3 linked regions of the Notamacropus eugenii genome follow. The protein of the gene in region 1 interacts with the protein of each later gene in a pairwise test. Links are inferred from orthologs where the notes say so. Each region holds a gene or a part of one and is shown on either strand. Other genes may lie near its edges.

Evidence for each region.
Region 2: the proteins of SRPK2 (region 1) and FXR2 interact in binary tests that used the Homo sapiens proteins (3 or more experiments, as listed by UniProt). The link is inferred for Notamacropus eugenii from reciprocal best matches to the Homo sapiens genes SRPK2 and FXR2.
Region 3: the proteins of SRPK2 (region 1) and zinc finger and SCAN domain-containing protein 9-like interact in binary tests that used the Homo sapiens proteins (3 or more experiments, as listed by UniProt). The two-hybrid records come from large-scale screens. The link is inferred for Notamacropus eugenii from reciprocal best matches to the Homo sapiens genes SRPK2 and ZSCAN9.

The regions. Positions count from the first base shown.
Region 1 is NC_092874.1:150,434,234-150,441,356, reverse strand, and holds the start of SRPK2 (SRSF protein kinase 2), read right to left. Parts: upstream 3,064-7,123; 5' UTR 2,780-3,063; coding exon 2,671-2,779; intron 2,309-2,670; exon of another isoform or gene 2,096-2,308; coding exon of another isoform or gene 2,080-2,095; intron 1,964-2,079; coding exon 1,909-1,963; intron 1-1,908. UniProt on the Homo sapiens protein: Serine/arginine-rich protein-specific kinase which specifically phosphorylates its substrates at serine residues located in regions rich in arginine/serine dipeptides, known as RS domains and is involved in the phosphorylation of SR splicing factors and the regulation of splicing.
Region 2 is NC_092873.1:78,374,676-78,381,744, forward strand, and holds the start of FXR2 (RNA-binding protein FXR2), read left to right. Parts: upstream 1-3,995; 5' UTR 3,996-4,096; coding exon 4,097-4,177; intron 4,178-4,619; exon of another isoform or gene 4,620-4,709; intron 4,710-5,175; exon of another isoform or gene 5,176-5,228; intron 5,229-7,069. UniProt on the Homo sapiens protein: mRNA-binding protein that acts as a regulator of mRNAs translation and/or stability, and which is required for adult hippocampal neurogenesis. Specifically binds to AU-rich elements (AREs) in the 3'-UTR of target mRNAs.
Region 3 is NC_092873.1:72,350,479-72,358,016, reverse strand, and holds the start of zinc finger and SCAN domain-containing protein 9-like, read right to left. Parts: upstream 3,075-7,538; 5' UTR 2,973-3,074; intron 2,034-2,972; 5' UTR 1,888-2,033; coding exon 1,506-1,887; intron 1-1,505. UniProt on the Homo sapiens protein: May be involved in transcriptional regulation.

The DNA of each region.
Region 1 (7,123 bases):
GTTCAACTCTTCATTTTACAGATGAGAAATCTGAGACCCAAGAAGGTAAAGCAAATTTTCCAAAATCTACCTTGTGTTGCTAATTACAGAAACAAGTTACATAAAATAGATCCATTCAGTTCTAATCCACACTAAGTTCAAAGCCAAAGGATAATTTTTACATTTACTGTCTCAAATTTCAGAATATTTTTTGTCTAGTTTCCTCACTTTTTAAAAAACATCCCACCACTTCATGTATAATGTGTGTAATTCTTGGTATACTTGCTGAACTCAGGATTCATTTGTGAATGAATAATTTTCAGTTATATTATACCACCTCATCCATTAATAATGATTTAATGAGCTTTCACAGATGTCACTAACATTAGATTCTTCTAAAAGAAGAATGATAAAGAAAAACCTTGGATGAGTTATAGGGAGCCTCCCAAAGAAAGTCCTAACTTAAACTAGACATTTTATAATTTCATTTAAATTTTAAATTCTTAAAACATTTACCACGATGACACCCCTATATTGCCACCCAACCACATTCATGAAAATATTTTTGCTTAAAAGGAATTCTTAAGCATATAAAAAGAAAAAATGTTGAATATTGGTCAATGAAAAATCTTCGCTGACTCCAGTGCTTCAAAAGATACATTCCAGGGCAGAAAACATAGCTGAACCATTCTGCTACACTACCAATTATAAATCCCTAGCCACTGGTTTAATTCTGGTCCATTTATACGTTTATATTAAATTTAGATGTAGTGGGGGTGGCAGCTTGGTGGAATGCACGTTTTAAACATGATAACACCAGTCATCATACTTTCTAAGGCAATGAATGGCTGGAGCTTAATCAAATGCCAATCTCTTTCACCATAAATCATACGCCCACCTACTGGATGGCTTCTTCAAAGCAAAAGCCAACCGAGAAAAATATCCAGCAGCTAACACACTGGAAGTTCATGACCCTACAATAAAGTTTCGGGGAAAAAATGAAGAACTCCAAAATACAGAAACTGTGAAAACTCAACTCACACCAACACGGAGCAGATTTATCCAAAGCAAATCAATACACTTTTCGCAGAACAAACGCCGATTTTCGACGCAGTAGTATAAATACCAATACTATCTACTCGGGGCGTGGGAGCGAATACGAAGGATAGCTGAAGAAGAGGAGAAAAAAGTGAGAAACCGGGATGTCCCTCTCCTCCAATAAATAATTCCCCGGGTGAGAGGCGAAGACCGGGGAAAAGGAAGAGTGGTTGATTGGTGAATGAATGAATGAATTCCAGTACATCTTCTACACCTGCAACTACAAACTTAGACCTCCTCACCGAGAGGAAAAAAGCGTTCGAGGCTCACTAAGACAAAATACAAAATGAGGAAGGAGAGTTAAAAGCAAAAGAAAGGGCACGCGCTGGCCTGAGCCATTCATCCCAACACCCCGACGGCCGCTCTCCCTCCCCCACCCAAGGAGGCAGAGGTCTGGGCTAGGATGCAGAGCTCCGGTCTGAGCCAAAGGCGGCGGCGGCGGCGGCGGCGGCGGCGGCCGCGGGAGGCACGCACCCACCCCTCCCCCCAGCCCCGGGACAGCGACCGGCAGCTGCCGGGAGCCCTCGCCTCGTCCGCCTTCCCCGGGGCCCCAGGGGAGGGAGTGCTGCGGGGGAAGGGGGGAGCGTCCGGTGGGAGGGGGGAGCGTCCCGCGAGAGGGGCGCAGCCGGGGCGCAGCCGGGGCGGGGGGGAAGGAGGAAGAAGAGAGCATCCCGAGGGGGGGCGCCCGACGCGTCCCGCCCCGCCCCCTGCCCCGCCCCCAGGGGGGTCCGGGCAACTTTCCTCCGCGGGAACCCGGCGCCCCCCGAGCCTCCCCAGTCTGGAGGGACCAAGGGGGTGGAGGCGGGACGACGTCGGGGAGTCCGGACTCACTTTTTCAGATGTTTCTCTCTCTTCGGCCTCCGCTTTCGGGCCTGAATGGCCAGCACTGTGGGGGGTGGGGGGGAAGGGAAGAGAGAGAGACACACATTAACGGTTGGGGACGTTGTGGCCTCCGAGGGACGGGGCGGCGGGAAGGGCAGAGAGCTGAGAGGGCGCACACACCTTTCCGGGAGCTCATCCCGCTCAGGGAAGGGGCGGTGACGGGGAGCCGGAGCCGAAGCCGGAGCCGGAGCCGGAGCCGGGGGCTGCAGCCTCCTCCACTCGCTCCGCCAGTCCAGGAGGAGGCGGGAACCGCGCCTGCGCCACCGGCCGCCGCTCCCCGCGGGGGCCCAGCGCAGGACCCGCCCCCAGGGCCCGGCCCCGCCCCAGGCTCCGCCCCCGTCCCGGCCTGGGGGCCCCAGCCGCGGGCGTAGGTCTTGCCAGCTCCTGACACCCTCCCTCTCTATTCCCTCACCCTAGCTTCGGAGCGCCTCAACCTAAGCTGGCACAGAAGCGTCCTCCCCCAACCCCAGCCCCCACCTCGAGCTCTGCGGGACCAGCCCCGCCCCTCTCCCGGCTCTGGCCTCCTCCTCCAATGGCTCAGCCCCGCGGTCCTCCCTCGATCCGTCGCCCCTCCCTTCCCGTCGCTGCCCCCGCCCAGCCCCCATCCTAGGACTCACTCACCTTGGGTCGGGCTCCTGCCCTCGCGATCCCCCCATCCCTCCAAACTCCCGGTGAAGGTCGCTCCCGCATTTCTTCCCTCTTCTCGCTCACCAGAGGAGTCTTGACTTGGTCCAACACCATCTTGTCTCCTCCCGACCTGGCTCCGGTTCAGACGACCTCTTTTCTTTCCACTCAAGCCCCTTTTCCCCTTTTCCTCCATCTTTTCGTCCCTTAGTCCCCAAGTTGGTCCCTCCTTCCACCGTTCTCTTCGGATCGGTTTTGATCCCTTATCCCTAGGACCCAGGACCAGCTTCTCCTGCTCCTTTTCACAGGTATCTAAATTTAAAAAGCGGTGTTACATTTAGAGAACTCGACACAAACGTACCCCCTTGGTATAATATTGGCACAACTTTGATAGCCCTTTCAAGGCCAAGCCAAGTCACTCAGGTGTGAAACAACTTTCTTTTCTAACTCTTCTCAAAGGCTTAACTTGAAATACTGAAAAGACCGAATGTTGTTACTGTGGTTGAAAGAGCACTGGGTTCCGGAATCTGATGGCAATCTACATTCGAATCTAGATTCTTCTCTTGGCCTGGGTGACCTTGGAAAAGTCACTGTGCTCCTCTGGGCCATCATATCTTCACCTGTACAATGAGGATCTTGGACTAGGTGGCTTTTATGACCCATTCTCTGAATCTATGATCCTAAACTCTCCAAGATCCCTTCCATATCTGATTCCTATCACAGTTTAACCCTGTCTTTGTCATGGTATGAATTTAGACAAGGAGATGATCTCTAATGTTTCAGCTTCTAAAAACTATGAACGCAAATAATATATAACCTCACCAAGCATGTTTCCTCATGAGTAAATATGGAAGTCTTGATTTCTTTTGTGAGGAATGAGAGTATCATATCTTGTGAGATTATTGATGTGTGTGTGTATATATATATATAATATATATGCCATATATATTATATATATATATCCTCAGTGTAGGAGTGATCTTCCCAAAATGTTCATTTTTAGTGGAAAGTATTAGTTTAGGAAAAAATAAAGAAAGAAAAAGAAGGCTGATTATCTGTTTGAAATGTCCTTCCAATTGTGCCCCAAAAGATCCCTATTTTAAATAACTTTCAGCATCAATTAACAAGAATGCTTTAATAATATCACAGAATACTATACCAAAAGTTTTCAGAGATGTGCTAAAATCCTTAAATGTAGTCTTTTAAAAAAAAAAAGATTAAATACAGCCCTGGCACATTTATTGAAGACCAGCAGAAGGTACCCTACCTATAAATGAAAAGTTAAAAGAGTCAAAGCAATAAAAGCATCAAGAAAATAAAAAGGTAATGTTATTATCCTGCTCATTCAAATCACAAGATTTAGAACTAGAAGTCAACATTAGTCAAGGCCTACTATGTGGCAAGTACTATACTGAGCATTGGGGTGCAAAGAAAAGCAAAAGATAATTCCCGCTTTCCAGGAATTCACAGTGATCATTATACTCCAATCTCATACAGATGAATGAATAAAGCATTTTAAGTTGTTTATTTTGTTGCTTATTGTGTTCTTTTTTCAGTTATGTCTGACTATTTGTGACCCTATTTGGAGTTTTCTTGGCAGAGATATTGGAGTGGTTTCCCATGCCCTTCTCCAGCTCTTATTACAGATGAGGACACTGAGGCCAATCAGGGGTTAAGTGACTTGCTATGGGTCACACCATTACTAAGTGTCTGAGGGCTGATTTGAACTCAGGAAGCTGTATCTTCCTGACTCCAGGTTCTGTATCCACCATGTGACAATCACCTTGCTTACCTCTTTAGATAGAAGTAGAAAAAGTTAATAGCCCTTACTCTCTCAAGGATTTCATACTATATTTGGCAAAGACATCACGTTCAGTTCTAAGTAGGGAAAGACAATACAGTGTGGACAGGAAGGCTCTGAAGATGTAAGGGTACAGTTTTAGGGCAGATGGTAAGATCCAGGAGTCCTTAGATAGAGAAAAACAGAAAATGAAACCAAGGCCCAGGGAAAGGCTTGCTTGAGATCACACAAGTAGTGAAGTAGCAGAATTAGTATTCAAGCCCAGCATCTTTGACACTAAATCCAGTTTACTAAGTTGCCTTCATAATTGGCTACAATGAAGTTTTCAAAAGTACATCAGCTATTTCATTGTCAGAGAAGTTTTATAAATGTATCCTTACCTCAAGGTTGACTAGCCATAACATTTATGAAAACATGTAATGTTCTAAAGGATACTATATAGCCTAAATGTATCTTTTGGATGTAAAACTTAAATGTGTTTGTTCTTGTGACCAAAATGTGAGTACATTTCTATAAATTAAGGGAGGATAACACTTGTGGCCCAGTATTAATAATGCAATATTTGCAAAGTGCCTTGAATTTCTTTAATAAAAATATAACTTCATCATCATCAAACAGCATTTATTAAATACTTAACCATGATACTTGTCTTATTGCTATATAAATTAAGAGAGTCAGAATTTGGGGGCTAGAAGAGACACAGAGAACTACCAAAATATGAATAATAATGATACCAGGTCATATTTTATAGCATTTTATGGTTTCCAAAGTATTCTCCTTACAACAGCCCTGTGAGAATGGTAATATAATCCCCATTTTACAGATAAGTATCCTGAGGCTTAAAAAACTTAAGTGACATCTAAGGCAGCTAACTGGTAGAGTACTGGGTCTTAAATCAAGAAGATCTGAGTTCAGATCCAGCCTCAGATATTTACTAGATGTATAACCCTAGGCAAGTCACTTAACCTTTGACTGTTTCAGTTTTCTCAACTATAATATAAGGATAATAATGCCATCTACTTCACAGGGTTTTTATGAAGATCAAGAGAAATTATCTTTGTAAAGCATTTAGCATAGTGTCTAGCATATGGTAGACACCTGTCAACCAGACTAGAACCAGTTTCTAATCTTCTTGTTCCCTTTCCTTTCCCTGAAAAGTTTAATGGAACTGGGTTTCAAATTCAGATCTAGATTGAGTCCAAATCTAGTACTTTTTCTTTTTTTTTTTATTTTACTATAGTAACTCTCTCACTAATCTGTACAGTTTAGAAATTTACTCCCTATAAAGCTAATTCTTATCTTTACAAATGACAAAGTTGTTTGAAAGAAGACTTCAGGGAACACACAAGTGAAAAGCAATATAGTAAAAAAAAAAAAAAAAAGCATACATTTCCTTTATTTTAAAATGAAATAAAAGGTTCTAGTGCCATATGATAAAACATATCAAGGATGATAAACAGTTGGATAGGCAAACCATAGAGCTCATCTATTAGTACATATATCCTGGAAAGATACTACCAATGAACAATGAGTTAGGTCCACAACTGAACAGGAGGAGGAAGGAGAGCTGGAAGGCCTGTGGAAAACTGCACAGTTCATTTAGTGATCCCAAGCTTCTCCACAAAACAAAAGCCCATCTTTCTGACATCAATAGTTTCCCGGTAATGTTGCATGCCTTTGAGTAATGAAACACTATGGTCTCCAAACAACTGAAATTAAGGATTCCCAAAGAATAAAGGAAAGATGCATGGTTTGTGGCTGAAATATAAGTGGCAATACATTACAAGGGAGGACTTACACGGTAGAAACTGTATAACAAATGTCATCAGAGAAATTTATCACTGGAAAAAGAAGATGGGCCAGTCACACAGCAAAAGCAAAGGAAAACTGAAGGATAGCACATATGTTTCAATGTCACAAACTTGCAAGAAAGTGCCTACTACAGCAGCACATATGCTAAAATTGGAATAATAAAGAAATTAGTATGACTCATGTTCAAGGTTGACATACAAATTCATGAAGCAGTCTTTAATGTATTTTGTTTATTTTTGCAGGGGATGGGAAGAATGCTTGTTTTTTTATTTGACAATACTTATTTGTTACAAAGTGAAGGCATTTATTTTGGGAAGAGGAAAGTCTTAGGGAGGGAGTTGGAGTAGTGATAGTAATGACAAAAAATGAAGAAAAGTGTAAATTAAACATTAAAACACAGTCAAAGAGCAGAAGGTGGCACAGAAAACAGGACAGTGTTGATACTTCTCTATTAAACTTAACATACACTTGTAAAAAACAGTATATAATAGATATTAAGGTGAAGATTTCATATGCACATTTTTTCTACTTTTCTTTATAATCAGAAACTTTTATGTTTGTTGGTATTTGTCAAATTTGGAATAAAAAATATTTCAAAGAAAGTGTGAGGAATACCACCAGCATATTGGGAGTACCTTTTATGGTGGATTTATTGAAGGTTGTTAACAACTAGACTAGGATAGACAATCATGAACACTTTGCGGTCCTTGATGAGAGTACCCACATTGACATCACAGATTCCATTAGAGCATAATCAGGGATCACAGAATGAAAGATTCAGAGCTCAAAGAGACCTTAGATATCATCTAGTTCAATGCACTCATTTTACAGGGGAAGAAACTGAGGTCTAAGGAGCTGAAGTTCACTGAGTCATTGCAAAGTTTAACCTAAATTCCAGAACACTAATGATGAAACATGCTACCCACA
Region 2 (7,069 bases), on another chromosome or scaffold:
ATGAATATCTGGTCACTGTTTTCAGATGGCTCTGGAGGAGAAGTGAGGTTGGTGACCTGAACAACCCTTCCTCACTCAGAACAAAGTCAAGTACAAGTCATATCATTATTTCTCTGATAGCATGGTCTTCTTTGGCAACAAAGGACAAACACACATACCTCCCTCCCAATATTTTCATCTTTCTAATCCTTCCTTGATCATTGATTGAGGAACCATTTCTCCAGATCTTCCTCATTCTCTGAATCAGCTTGGGGCTCCAAATTCAGAGATCTGTCAGAATCAGTGGCTAATTACTTACTTTCTGTTGCTCTCATTTTAACTGGACACCCTGGTCTGTCTGCCCTCCCACTTCTTTTTCTTATTACCACTCCCTTTCTCTACTAAACACAGGAGTGCATTTTCTAGATTTTTTTAAAATAAGGGTAAATAAGACATACAAATTCAGAAATAACATATATGAAGGAATTAGAAATTAGAGTAAAAAGAAAACTTTTTAGTACCAGACTGGATAGGATGGAACTTATACACTATTCTCCCTCTAGATTTCTTCAAGCCTTTTTTGGCCTTTAGTAATTTCTTCTAGGCTACAGAATCTAAAGATCCCTTTCCCATTAGTCCCAAAATGAAAATGTTCTGACTCCAAACAATCCCATGGATTTAGTTATTTATCCATCTGAAGAACACTGGCCTTTTCTATTTGTATCCTTAGTGGCAAAGAAAACTTCAGCCTTCTGACTGAAAGGTAGATTTTGAAAAATGTAATCCCTAATCCAACTTGATTCCTTCATCCTCTCAACCAAGGGAAGATGAGAAAATGGAATTTGCACATTATCCACTTAAAAATCCCAATAATTTAGTCTGACACAGGTTACTCTCAAAGTTAAAAAAAATATCCATTTTTTTATTAAAGGATAGAAGAAAAATTTTTCAGAAAAAATAAGCAGGCTTTGGTTGCCTCCCAGATAAGGATGACAGGAACCACTGCTAATAAACAGGGATAAAGGGCAAAAGCCCACATCTCCACATCTACTCCCCATCCCCCAAACATTGCTAAATAACTCCTTGAGGTTTATTGGAATTTCAAGATAATCTGTATGGCCCAAGCACTAACTTTCATTTCTATGATGGGAGTTGAAATGAATTCATTTATCCTAAACCAAGTGAAGGATAGAGGGGTTTTCTTTGGTGGAGTGGGAGTGGCATGGAGTGAAGGGAAAAAAGATATTGACAGTTGCTTGAGTGTCAACCAGGTATGGTCACTATGTTTAACAAGAGCTAAGTGTGTTTATTAGCCCCTCAGCACTTTGATTAGGAGTAGTCTCACCAAAGAGCTAAAACATTCCTTGTATTGAAGAAGATATTGGGTGCTTCAACTGCACAGAATCCCTTCTTAAATAATATCATAAGTTGTCTGAGGAATTTTCTCATCAGTGCAAGAGTCTGTGGGAATATTCTTTTGTGTAAGAGCATTGAAAAATTATTCAACTGCATGAGTTTCCTTTATTATTTACATTGCTATTACTACCTATTAAAATAGTTTGCTATTTAATGAATGACTCTAGCTCGGTAGATAAGGCACTGGATTGAAGTTTGAACCCTATTTTCACTTGTGATTACACAAAATACTCTATACACTTGGAACTGGGGGAATCAAATTCCAGAGTAGAGTGGGACTTTTAAATACTGAAATAGATACGTAGTTGGCAGGCCAGAGCTGAAAAGGCTGGTCAAGTGGCTCCGGTCTGAGATTAGGATGAAATGTGGCATTTTGTAGTCCATCTGACAGATATTTCAAGAGCAGGAGAAGGATATTTAGGGAAGATGTAATGTTGATTCAGCTGAGCATAACTTTCCTAAACCAAGTTGGTCAAGCTGGTCCAAGGTCAGAACAGAGGGAGGGGTTGAAGCTCCTACATCTGGCCCTTTTTGTTCTTAGGCAACCAGGAAGCTACTGAAAGTGTCCTGAGCCTTAGTCCCAGAGCCAATTAAGTCTCCAGGACAGTTTTCAGTGCCTTTTAAGGAAAAGAACTTTGCCCCCCCACCCCCACCCCCACCCCCACCCCTTCCTGCTTCAGCTCACATGGGGAGAAGGCAAAGGGTATCTTTGTTGGATATAAGAAGCATAAGGGACTGAAAAGTATTGAGTCAAAAGATTTGGAGCCTGGAAGAATTGAGATTACCCCAGATCAAGAGGGGTATTTGGGAGGGGGGAATCACTTTTGGAGGAAATCCCAGTAAATCTCCTAGCACTTTAAATTCCTATGCACTTATTTCCTATTTTGCATTTTACCTATCTGTGCACAGATCTAAACCCCTCTAAAAGACTAAGTTCCTCGAGGGTAGGACAAAGTGTTAATCATCTCATCTCCATTTCTTACCGCAGTGCCACAGGATAGAAGGGATTCCTAAAGGTAATTCAGTTCACTATTCATGAAGAGCCTACTGTGTGCCAGGCACTGCACTAAACCCTGGGGGAGCAAAAGCTTTTTTTTCCGGAAAACTTTGAAAAGTTGCTGCCCTCAAGGGCTGTATTTGCAGAAGGAAAGAATGTAATCTCAGCCAGTCCTTATTTTTAGACACTCCCCAGGGTGGCTGATCTGTTGGCCAGCCTGGCCCCGGCCTTTCGCTCCTTCCTTTCCAGCAGCATCACGTTACTGCCTCCTCATTGTCCCTGAACATCCTGTTCTTTCTTCTCTCCCTTTGACTCGCCCCGGCCCTCCAGCACGGACTGGCTCGCTCCGGCCAGCAGGGGCTCTTTTTTTGTCTGGGGAAAGGGACGAAGGCTGCACCTGTGACTTCATTGTTGTGGGGAACTCCCGGTGAGGAAACTTCCTCTGCCAATTCTGACAGTCAGAGAATTGCCCCACAAAGTATTTAGGTGGTTTCCCCCGACCGCAGGGCTAGTGACTAGAAGACCTATGTCCTTGCCTTCGGGGCTTTTACACCCCTCTGCCTCTCATTTGATGATTTAATTCCACCATTTAAATTACGGATTGCTTTAAAATGCATTTTAACAAGCGCATTTCGTGTATGTGTGTGTTCTACACGCCTTTAATGTCTCAGCGAACAGGAAGCAAGCGTGCGCTGGACGGACGGACATCCAGCCAGTGCCGGCACTTAGAGGCTACATACGTCCCGACTCCGCTCCCACTAATGTCCCCCCCCCCCCCCCAACGCTATGAAAGGTTTAAAGCCCCAAGGATGAAGGAGCACCGCAGCGGCCGCTCCGCCGGCGCACGCGCACGAAGCGGACACCTCGACCTGACTCCTTCCACCTTTTCCCCGGCTCCCTTCCCTCGCATCTACGAGTCTGCGCAGCTGGGCAGACAAAAGAGAAATTGGGGGAGGAGGGAAAGTGGGAGAAAGTGACATAAGCAGCCGCTGCGCCCTTCGACACGCCCTTGGAAGGGGTGGTCCCTTCTGCGCAAGCGTAGCTGTGTGCGTGCGTGCGTGCGTGCGGTGTGTTGTATTAGGGGTTAGGGTTAGGGTTAAAGGCTCCAGCTCGGGTGCGCGCGCTAACCACTCACGGTCACGCGCTCCTCGACGCCTGCGCCGTGTTTTTTCTCCTGTCTCTGGGCGCGGGGCGGGAGGGTGCCGAGCGCGCCTGCGCAGTAGGTAGTAGCGCCGGCGGCGGCGGCGGTGGCGGCGGCGGTAGGGGGAGGGAAGGAAGGGGGGAGGGAGGTGGAGGAGAAGGAGGAGGAGGAGGAGGAGGAGGAGGAGGAGGCGGAGGCGGAGGCGGCGGCGGCGGCGGCGGCAGCGGCGGAGGTGGTGGTGGCGGCGGCTTCCCGGGATTGAGGCAGTGGCTGAGGAGACGGCGGCGGCGGCCATTTCCCTCACAGTGGCGGAGACCGAGGCGGCGGCGGACGGGGAGCGGCCCGGCCCCGGCCCCCTGCTCGTCGGCTGTGGCGGGGCCGGTGTGGGGCCTGCCCGGCTCCCGCCCCCTGCGGCGTCCCCGCCAGCTCCTCCTCCTCCCCCGGGGGGGCGACGCAGGGGGCCCGGCCCGGCCCGAGCTCAGGCCGCCGCCGCCGGAGGAGGAGCAGGAGGAGCAGTCGCCGCCGCAGCAGCAGCAGCAGCCGCCGCAGGCGGCGGCCCCTCCATGGGCGGCCTAGCTGTCGGGAGGGACATGGAGCCGGGGCTGCCGGTCGAGGTGCGTGGCTCCAACGGGGCCTTCTACAAGGTGAGGCGGCGCGCCGGCCGGGGACACCTGCCCGCCTGCGGGCCGGGGAAGCGCGGGGCTGTCGGGACTCCTCCTCGGCCACCCCCCGACCCACCTCCAGGAGACACTCCCTGGGCCTGTCCCCGTCCCTTCCCCCCGTGGCTGCTCCAGGCCCCTCGCCTGCTTCTTCCCTCCTTCCCGGGGCAGGGACCTCAGCGCAGGAACACCCTTGCTGCTCATTGCACCGCTGACCTTCCCTTCTGTAGTCACCTAGGGCTGCTGAGACTTGAATTGTGTCTTTGTGTAACCCACCCCCACCCCCATCTTCGGTCCATTATCTCAGGCAGAGCCCCTCCCACTTCGTATTCCCCAACTGAGGGAGAAAAAAGCTGAACCCCAGCTCTAACAGCTGTAGCACCCCCTGACCTCTAGGAAGTCTGTGCTCTGCCATTCATTTTGCTTTCTCATTCGTCGATGGCTTCATTATACAAGTCCTCTACCTCCATACCTCTACTTTCCACGCAAGACCTACCTAGAATATTGCTTGATCCGGGTAAGGACCAGTACATGTATGCACTTTTACATTACCGATGTCATTCCCCAAACGGAGCCTGTGTTCTCCTCCAAGAGGACCTCAAGTGGACCCCTCTCCTAGGAGTGGATACATCCCCTGTTATTTTTCCCTAAAGCATTTCTGTTTCTAGAATGTTCCCTAGTAACTTTCCCTATTTGGGCATTCTCCTACAGCTCTTTTTTTAGGAGTCCCTTTGGAGGACCCTTTTCTGTCCCCAAGCTCCCCTCTGAAGGCATTTCTGCAGAGGTTCCCTCCCTTTATCCACACCCTTTTCTACCCACCCCTAATTTGGTTTCTGGGGTATCCTTTCATAGGTAAAATAACTGAAGTTGAAGACTCACTGCTTCCCAAAGATTTTCTTCTCCTTAATTCTCTAATATGGGGGGGCTGGGAGGGGACATCCTTGTAACTTATACCCTGCCAACGTTTTTGTTCTACCTCCCAGGCCTGAGTTTGAACATATATTGTAGCCTATCCTACATCTGGAAGAACTAGAATGTAAGTTCCTTGAGGGCAGATTGTCATTTTTGTCTTTATCCAGTTCCTAGCAAATAGTTACTTAATAAATGTTTGTTGATATTTCTCCTCTATCACCACATGTGGGGAGAGATTCTGCCCTCCCTTCCCCCTTGTCCTTTACCCAACAGACCCTTATGCCTCTGAGCCATTCTGCTCCCTTTATTCCCCAAAGCATATTTCGCATTATGACTAAAAAGGATTTGGTGTTTGCCATGGTGTGTACTCGCATTTCTCTCATCAGAGAGTTTTCATCTCTGGTAACCTGGGTCTCAGCTCACTCCCTAATCTAAGTAGTTAACTATGTAAACTTCGCCTAACCAATCTGAATCCTTATTTCCAGAAAACTTCCTTAAATCTTTCTTCAGCAAAAAGAGGTTCCTTAGCTGATTCTTTGTCATTTCTTTCCTAAATCCTGGGCTTCCCTTTCAATTCTGGACCATGTGATAACACAGAGTCTTCATAATAGCACCTCAGAGTAGACTCTTGTTTCCTCTTGAACTCACCCCTTAAGCAGCATTCCTATTTGACCTGGCAGAAATTCCTCCATTCCTGATTCCCTTCTGTGTCTGGTAGCATATGCTTGTTCTTAACCTCTTTTCCCTTTATGTTTCCTTGTTTCTTCGTTGAAATGTGCTTCCAGATACCTACTTCATCATGTGGGCCCCTTGCCCTCCTTTTGTATTGTATTCTCTCTAAATCCCCAATCATAAATTCTTCAGGTTCTAGGAGAAAGGATTTGAGATTAGGTCAGAGGTAGTCTATAAAATGTTACATTTAGTCTTCTCTCATTCCTTTGTTACCTGGTATCTAGGGACAGCTTCTAGACAAGATTGGTCTCTAGTAAGAATCATCTAGATGAGAGAAAAGAGGGTTCTCCCCCCCCACTTCACTCCACCCCTTTACATATACACAGGTAGCTGAAACTTCTTTTAAAACCTCAGCTTCTCCAATATTTTGTAAGATCTTTCTCCTCAGCCAGTGTGGATGTGGTGAGGATTTGATTTGAGGTGAGGATGCTTTGGACTTGGAAAGTAGCAGTTTGTTGGGAAACAGGTCATATGGATTTCTGTACTCTTTGACATTTATTTAAATCTCATTTCCCCCATTTTGAAGACTAGAATACCTCAACAATCTATTTACTTGTCTCTCTCAATGCCAGCGTGTTTTTTTTCCCATTACCATTCTCTGTTGAACTCCTTACCCTTTTGTATTTGAATACTTTGCTACTCTGTTTTTAGAACCAGTTTTCATGACTCAGCAGATCAGGGTAGTTAGTAAGGAGGGGCCATGTTGTTTGAGAATTATATCCCCTGACAAGGTTTCTTTCCCTCTCTTCTGGATATGGGAATCCCATTGTATATCCTTTTCTATCTAAGAGACACCCCTTAACAGGATCTTAGTCACTGTAGCTCTAACTCTCCAGCTTTCCTCCAAGAACTTACGTATTTTCCCACTTCAGTCTTAGGCTATTTCAAATTCCATCTCCAGTCCGCTTCTAAGACAGAAACATAGTACCTGATCTGCACCAGAGCTTTTTCCCAGTTGATTCTCCACTCTTTAGACAGCCTGGCTCCTCCCTGACAGCTCCCCAGAGCTCATCATATTGATTCCACACTTAGTTCAGAAACTGATCAGCAGAGTCCACTGCGGCTTTGAGCTCCCTAGCTCAAGAGGTTCACCAACCTCAGCTTCCCTGATAGGAAGGATTTTGTGCCACCATGCTTCCCCATATTATTCGGAAGGACCAGACCAACCTTCAATTTCCACTTCTCCCAGATGCTCTTTCCTACTGAGACTGTATTATTTGGGAAAGTTCCCTA
Region 3 (7,538 bases), on another chromosome or scaffold:
TTCCCTATATGTAAAATAGGGGTGGGAGTAGATTTCTAACGTCCCTTTCCTATTTGAATTAAATTTCCCTTACTTTACACTGCAGGCAAACTATACAGCCTTCCACCTCTTGCCTTCAATATTGCCTCTCTCATCTCTGTAGCTTTTGCTCAATCACACCTGGAATTTTTGAAGTTCCTTATTTCCTCCTTGGAAGCTCCATTAAGCCTCTCCTCTTCTTTTCCCCAAGCTGAAGTTAATATCTTCCTTATCAAATTTCTCATGGAAATAGACTTCTCCTTTGCAATTTTTTTGTCTTGTATCATATGTATTTGTGTTCATGTTGTTCTCTCTACTAAATTCTGAGCTCTTTTGAAAGGTCTGCAACCCAGAAACTAATACAGTGCCTGGAACATGGTAGATATTTAAAAGCTCATTCATTTGAACTGACTTACTCTACAGAATTCAGAGTTGGAAGACTTCCAATAATGGGAATCCCACAATTTCTACTATTGGGAAGCTCTAACTATTTGTTGGGAAGTTTCTCCTGATCTTAAGCCAAAGTTGGTCCCCTACACTTCTCTTAGTTCTGTTGTCAGGGACCAAACAGAATAAGTTTAATCCCTCTTGCATGTGTTTCAAATACTGAAAGATGGCTCTGATGCTATCCCTGAATCTTCTCCAAACTAAACATTTCCAGTTCCTTCAATCTATTCATCAAGTTGGACCACTTGCATTCTTTCTCCCATTAATTGGAGAGGGTGGAAGGTGGACATCAGTGAGTTCCTCTTAGATCTTCCATTCATTGAGAGGGCCCAGGGCCACCATCTCTTAATTTCCCATGATGAAGGACTTCATCATGCCCTTTTAACAGGTATCTTTGTTCTTCCCTCTCCCTCACCCTTCTCTTTTCATTTTCTTTTTATGTCATTTTCCCTCATTAGATTGTGAGCTCCATTTTTTGTGTATTTCCAGTGCTTAGCATAGTACCTGATACATAGTAGTAGCTGAATTGTTATTGACTGACTTCTCCAATTTCACTATACACTGGTACAGAGTAGGCACTATTCCAGTGATATACTCCCTTTCACATTTCCACTTGTGGAAAACCATTCTTTCTTCAAGGCAAGTACAATGTTACTTCAAACTGTCCAATTACCTCACTCCAAATTTTTCACCCCAAAAATCCTCAAATTTTTTATTATATTCTACCCTGTATGTATTTATTTGTGTACATGCCTTATCCCCAGTAAATTGAACAAAATCCATTCATTCAGGGGTTATATAGCTTTTTACCTTTTTATATGTAGCTTCTAACAGTTCCTTGCACTTAGCAGGGGCTTTAAAATACTTACTGAGTTAAATATTCCTGAGATACAATAGATATAAGGAGTGAGAAGAATTTTATTTAACTCCTAAGGTTAATGGGAGGTAAAACATAAAGGAAGAAACAGACATAAAACCAATAGGAAATTTAAATTAAGCAATTTTCCTGCCAATTTTTTCCTCCATGAAGATCTACATACCTTCTTCTCTGCACAGCAGAATTCCTCTCCCTATTCCCACTTGATGATCTGGTTCATCAAGCTCTCTTTCCAAATTCTCCAACAGAATCACTGCTGCCTCTCCACTCTCTGGATGGTGTTCTTGCACCCAAGTATGAAGTTCTTCAGGAAGGATGGTCAGGAATTGTTCCAGCACCAGCAACTCTAGGATCCTTTCCTTTGTATGCATTTCTGGTCTTAACCACTGATGACAAAATATCTGGAGTTGACTGAGGGCCTCTCTGGGGCCTGGTGTCTCCTGATAGCATAGTTGACGAAAACGTTGGCGGAAGAGTTCCCTTTCCTGGGGATTATTTCTTTGCAGGCTGAATTCTTGCCCGCTGCAGTGGTCTTTCTCCTCCATTTTCTCTGTAAGCAACCCTTCCTGTCCCACTAGAGCCTGCACTCCCAGGGTTACAGCCTCCCTTAATTTTGTATCCGTTGGAGACTTCTAAAGCTCAAGAGATAGCTTATTCCAGCAAGAAAAGTTCTTTTCTTCAGGTATCAGTCCTGAGTTACAAAAATTGCTGTTAATATGGAGAAATGACATATGGTACTAAGAACTGACTTACAGGTATATATATATACACACACAGAGAGAGACATATATGTAAACATGTGTATATATGTATATATACATATACATGTGTGTATATGTATTTTTATATATATTCAGCCATAAGGGTGATTTACTGAAAGCAAGGTCACTTTGTGACAGGGAGAATAAGCACAATTAAAGGTAATAGCAATTCAGACACATAAATCATTCACCTTATAAACCAAAAGCAGAAAACTAGGATTTTACTTAGAACTGTTAGAGATCTGTATCTATCATGGAAGCAGTTAAGTAAAGTAACCAATAGAAATATTGTGCCTGTCCTTGGATCTCTAAATTCTTGAAACTCTGAAACATCCGAAAGCTTCAAATAGAGAACTTCCAAGTTTATATTCAGTCATTTACTGATTACACCTTGTTTAGTTCTGAATCTTCCTAACTGCACTACTTTCTAGCTCACATCTCTCCGTCTTGACCAGAACAGTTTTTGTCTCGACTTTTCTAAAATCTAGGTAAACTATATGGGTAGCATTCCCATAACCTATTAGAATAATAACTAACATTTTCTAAAAAGGAAATAAGGTTAGTCTAGCATAACTTATTCTTAAAGAAGCAAGGCTGCTTCTTTGTAATCACTGCTTATTTTTTTTTAATAGGTTCACTGACCCTCCCAAGCAAGCTGCATGGTAGCCCCAGAGGCCAATGTCTACTTTGGTTCTCTGGCCCCAGTGTAATCACAACACCCCTCCTCATAGCACTCTCTCTGCCAGGGTTCAGAGCTGGTCTGGGGAGAATAGGGAGGTGATTGCTCCAAATCCACCCCCTTCCAGCTGATAGAGGGGGAAACCCTTAGGGCCACAGCTGGACAGATCTCATTTCCAGGACCAACTCACCTAAAACGGGTTAACTGGGGAGAAGGGTACGCTCAGTCCTGAGCCGCAGGAAAGGAGGTAAAGGATAGAACTCAAGGCAGGAACACTAGTCAGACCTAACAAATACCAACCAATCGTAAAGCACCAGTTATTTCCGGGACTCTCTAGGAATTCTCCTCTCGTTTTCCCAGCGCCAGATCTCTTCACCCCTTGAATCTCCATCCTCTGATATTACACAGGCTCTTTTCTAACCATTTAAAGCCAGTATCCTGGCTGGTGTTCAGCTAGCTTAGAGGAAACTGGAAAAGCTAGTACTGAAACTGAAAATTTTGATCCCTAAAGCAAAACCTGCAGGTTGGGCCTCCTTGCAAAATATTGAGCAATAGTCCCCAAACTGAACCCTTTAAGTTACTGTACGTATGTGTGTATCTAATATATGTAATATGTATTATGCACACTACATATATACATATATGTATATATACACATATATACAGTTACTATGTATAGTAACTGTACAAGGTGTACTATTTATAAGATAAATTGAAGATAACAGAGAAGTTATTTGCAATAAGAGGATATTGGAAAAAGCTTTCTTTTAGAAGGTAAGATTTTTGCCTGGGATTCAAAGGAAGTCAGGGAAGAAAGTAAGTAGAGATGAAACAGAAGAGAATTTCAGGCATAGGGAATAGTCAGTGAAAATGGCCAGAGTAGGAAGATCAATTGTCTTAGATGAGGAACAGTAAGGAGGCCAGTGTCACTAGATCCTAGAGTAGGTGAGGGTGAATAAGGTATAAGGAGACTAGGAAAGTGGGAACGGTTTTGAATGTCAAAAATAACACTTTTTATTTTATATTCTAAACTTCTTGGAGTTTGGCTCCAGATTGCATATTCCATCAGAAACTGTTCTCTCCAAAGTTACTAATTATCTTTTAATTTCCAAATCCAATCACTCCTCAATCTACTTAACCTTTCTGTAGCCTTTTTTAAAAATTAAAAAGAAAAATTGACATTCATTTAAAAAGAAATTCAGTTTCCATTTCTTTCCCTCCTTTCAGCCCCTCTCCCACTTGCTGAGAAGGCAAGCACTATGATACCTATTATACACATGAAGTCATACAAAACATATTTCCATATTACTTGCTGTTTAGTTAATTGGTCATGTCTGGCTCCTCTTGACCCCATTGGGGGTTTTCTTGGCAAAGATACTGGAATGATTTTCTACTTCCTTCTCCAGGTGATTTTATAGCTGAGGAAACTGAGGCAAACAGGGTTAAGTGGCTTATTCAGGGTCACACAGCTACTGTCTGAAGCCAAACTTGAACTCAGGAAGGTAAGTGACTCTAGGCTCAGCATTCTATCCACTATGCCACCTAGCTGCCATGTGGCCAAAAAAATTAGGAAAAATAAAGAAAGCGGAAAAAATATGCTTCAGTCTGCACCAACTTCATCAGTTCTCTTTACGAATATGCATAGCATTTTTCATCATGAGTCCTTTGTGATCATCATCAGAGTAGCTAAGTCTTTCATAGTTAATTATTGTTAGAATATTACTGTTACTGTGAAAACATTCTGGTTCTACTCACTTCACTTTGCATCAATCCATATAAATCTTCCCAGGTTTTTCTGAAAGTATCCCCTTCCTTATTTCTTTTTTTCAATTTTTAAACATTTTAATTTAAAGTTTTGGATTCCATATTCTATCCCTCCCTCTACTCTCCCTTTCCTGAGATGGTAAGCAATCAGATATAGGTTATACATGTGAAATCATATAAAATATTTCCATATAAGTCATTCTGTACAAGAAGACTCAAACAAAAGAAAAAAATGAAAGAGTGAAAAATAGCATGCTTTATTCAGTATTCAAACAATATCAGTTCTTTCTTTGGAGGCAGATAGTATGCTTCATCATTAGTCCTTTGGGATTGTCTTAGATCATTGTATTGCTGAGAAGAGCTAAGTCATGCACAGTTCTTCATTAAACAATTTTGCTATTACTGTGTACATCGTTCTCCTGTTTCACGTCTCAATATTCACTTTACAATGTTCACTTTACTATGCGTCAGTTCATGTGAGTCTTTACAGATTTCCCTTCCTTATTTCTTAATAACACAAATGGTATTGGTCATAATCACATACCACAACTTGTTCAGCCATTCCCCAATCAATGGTCATCCCTCAAATTCTAATTCTTTGCCACCACAAAAAGATTTGCTGTATTTTTGTACATATAGATCCTTTTCCTTTTCCTTTGATCTCTTTGGGATACAGATTTAGTATTGGTATTGCTGAGTCAAAGGGTATCAAAACTTTGTAGCTCTTTGGGCATAGTTCTAAATTTTTCTCCAGAATAGTTGGATCAGTTCACTGTTCCACCAACAGTTCATTAAGACAATGCTCTCATGGTCTCCCAGTCACCAATGGAGTGAAATAAGGCTGTGTGGTTGCTCCCATGCTTTTTAGCATGTTTTCAGTCGTGTTGTCAAATGTTTTCAATGAGGATGAACATGGAATCAAGGTTAGCTACCGCATTGATGGTAAATTCTTCAACTTGAAAAAGCTACAAGCCAAGACCAAAGTGGAGGGAATGTTGGTGCATGATTTTCTGTTTTCAGATGATTGTGTGCTCAGTGCACCCCCTGAAGGTGAGATTCAACATGGTATGGATCAGTTCTCTGCTGTTTGTGCTAATTTTGGCCTAATAAGACGAAGAAAACATAGGTGTTCCATCAGCCACCACCACACCACCCATATGTGGAATCATTGGTTACAGCAAATAGAGAAGTTTTGAACGCTGTGGATAACTTTACTTACCTTGGTAGTATACTTTTCAGGGATATACACAGTGATAATGAGGTTGGCGCACACATTGCCAGAGCCAGTTCAATTTTGGGGAGGCTCTAAAGGAAAGTATGGGGGAGAAGAGTTATTAGACTGACTACCAAATTGAAGGTCTACAGAGCCATTATGCTGACCTCATATTGTATGCTTGTGAAACCTGGACAGTATACCAGCTCCATACCAGGAAACTGAATCACTTCCATTTTAGTTGTCTCAGGAAGATTCTGAAGATCACCTGGCAGGATAAGGTACCAGACACTGAGGTCCTTTCTCAAACTAAACTGCCAAGCACTCAAATTCTGCTTCAGAGAGTGCAATTCCACTGGGCTGACCATGTTATTAGAATGCAAAATGTACATTTGCATAAATGACTATTTTACAGAGAATTCAGGGCAAGCGTTCACATGGTGATCAGAAGAAGCTATATAAGGACACTCTCAAGGTCCTTCTTAAGAAATTTGGAATTGATTGTATGACATGGGAAATGCTGGCACAGGACCTCTTAGAATGGCGTGTCCACATCAGAGAAGGTGCTGTGCTCTATAAGTAAAGCAGAATTCAAACAGCTCAAAGGAAACACAGGATGAGTAAATTTAAAGAATTCACCCCAAATGTTCACACAGACCATTTGTGCCCAAGCCGTGGTAGAGCATTCCAAGCTTATATTGGTCTGATCAGCCACAGTCAGACACATTGAAACTTGACTCTAGTACAGTGATGTCATTTTGATCCTCTCTGAGAATGAATTACAAAAACCAACCAACCCAGGTATTTATTTTTCCAAACCCTTAGCATTTATCATTTTCCTTTTCTGGCACATTAAAGAATCTATTAGGCATAAGATAGTACCTCAGAGGTGTTTAATTTGAATTTGTCTAATTATTAATGATTTAGGGCATTTTTTCCATATGACTTGATAGCTTTGATTTCTTCTGAAAACTGCTTGTTCGTATCATTTGACTATCAATTGAGGGATGACTCCCATTTTCATAATTTTGTCTCAGCTCCCTATACTTTTGAGAAATGAGATCTTTATCAAAGAAACTGTATAAAATTTTTTCTAATTTTCTGCTTTCTTTCTAATTTTGTCTGAATAGGTATTGTTTGTACAAAACCTTTTTAACATAATCAAAATTATCTATTTTGCTTTCTATGATTCTCCTTATTTCTTATTTGGTTGTGTACTCTTCCCTTATCCATATATCTGACAGATAATTTTTTCCAAGTCCCTCTAATTTGCTTATATCACCCTCTATGTCTAAATCATGGTTCCATTTTGACCTTATCTTGGCATATAGTGTGAGATATTGGTCTATGCCAAGTTTATTCCACACTTCTTTCCAGTTTTCCCAGCAGCTTTTGGCAAATAGTGAGTCTTGTCCCAAAAACTTGGATCTTGAATTTATCAAACACAAACTTGTGGTCATTTATAATTCTGCTTGAACAGTATGACATCTGATACTGTTATACTTCCATCTTTCACTTTTTTCATTAATTCCCTTGATATTCTTGACCTTTTATTCTCTTCTGAATTTTAAAATATGATATAACATTTTATTTCTCCCTAATTACATACACAGCAATCTTTAACACTCATTTTTTAAAATTTTGAGTTCTCAGTTCTCTTCCTCTCTGCCCCATCCCATTGAGAAGGCAAGCAATTTGACATTGGGCAATCATGCAAATCATATGTCCATGTTAGTCATGTTGTAAAAGAAAAAAAACAAACAAATAAAAAACCAAGAA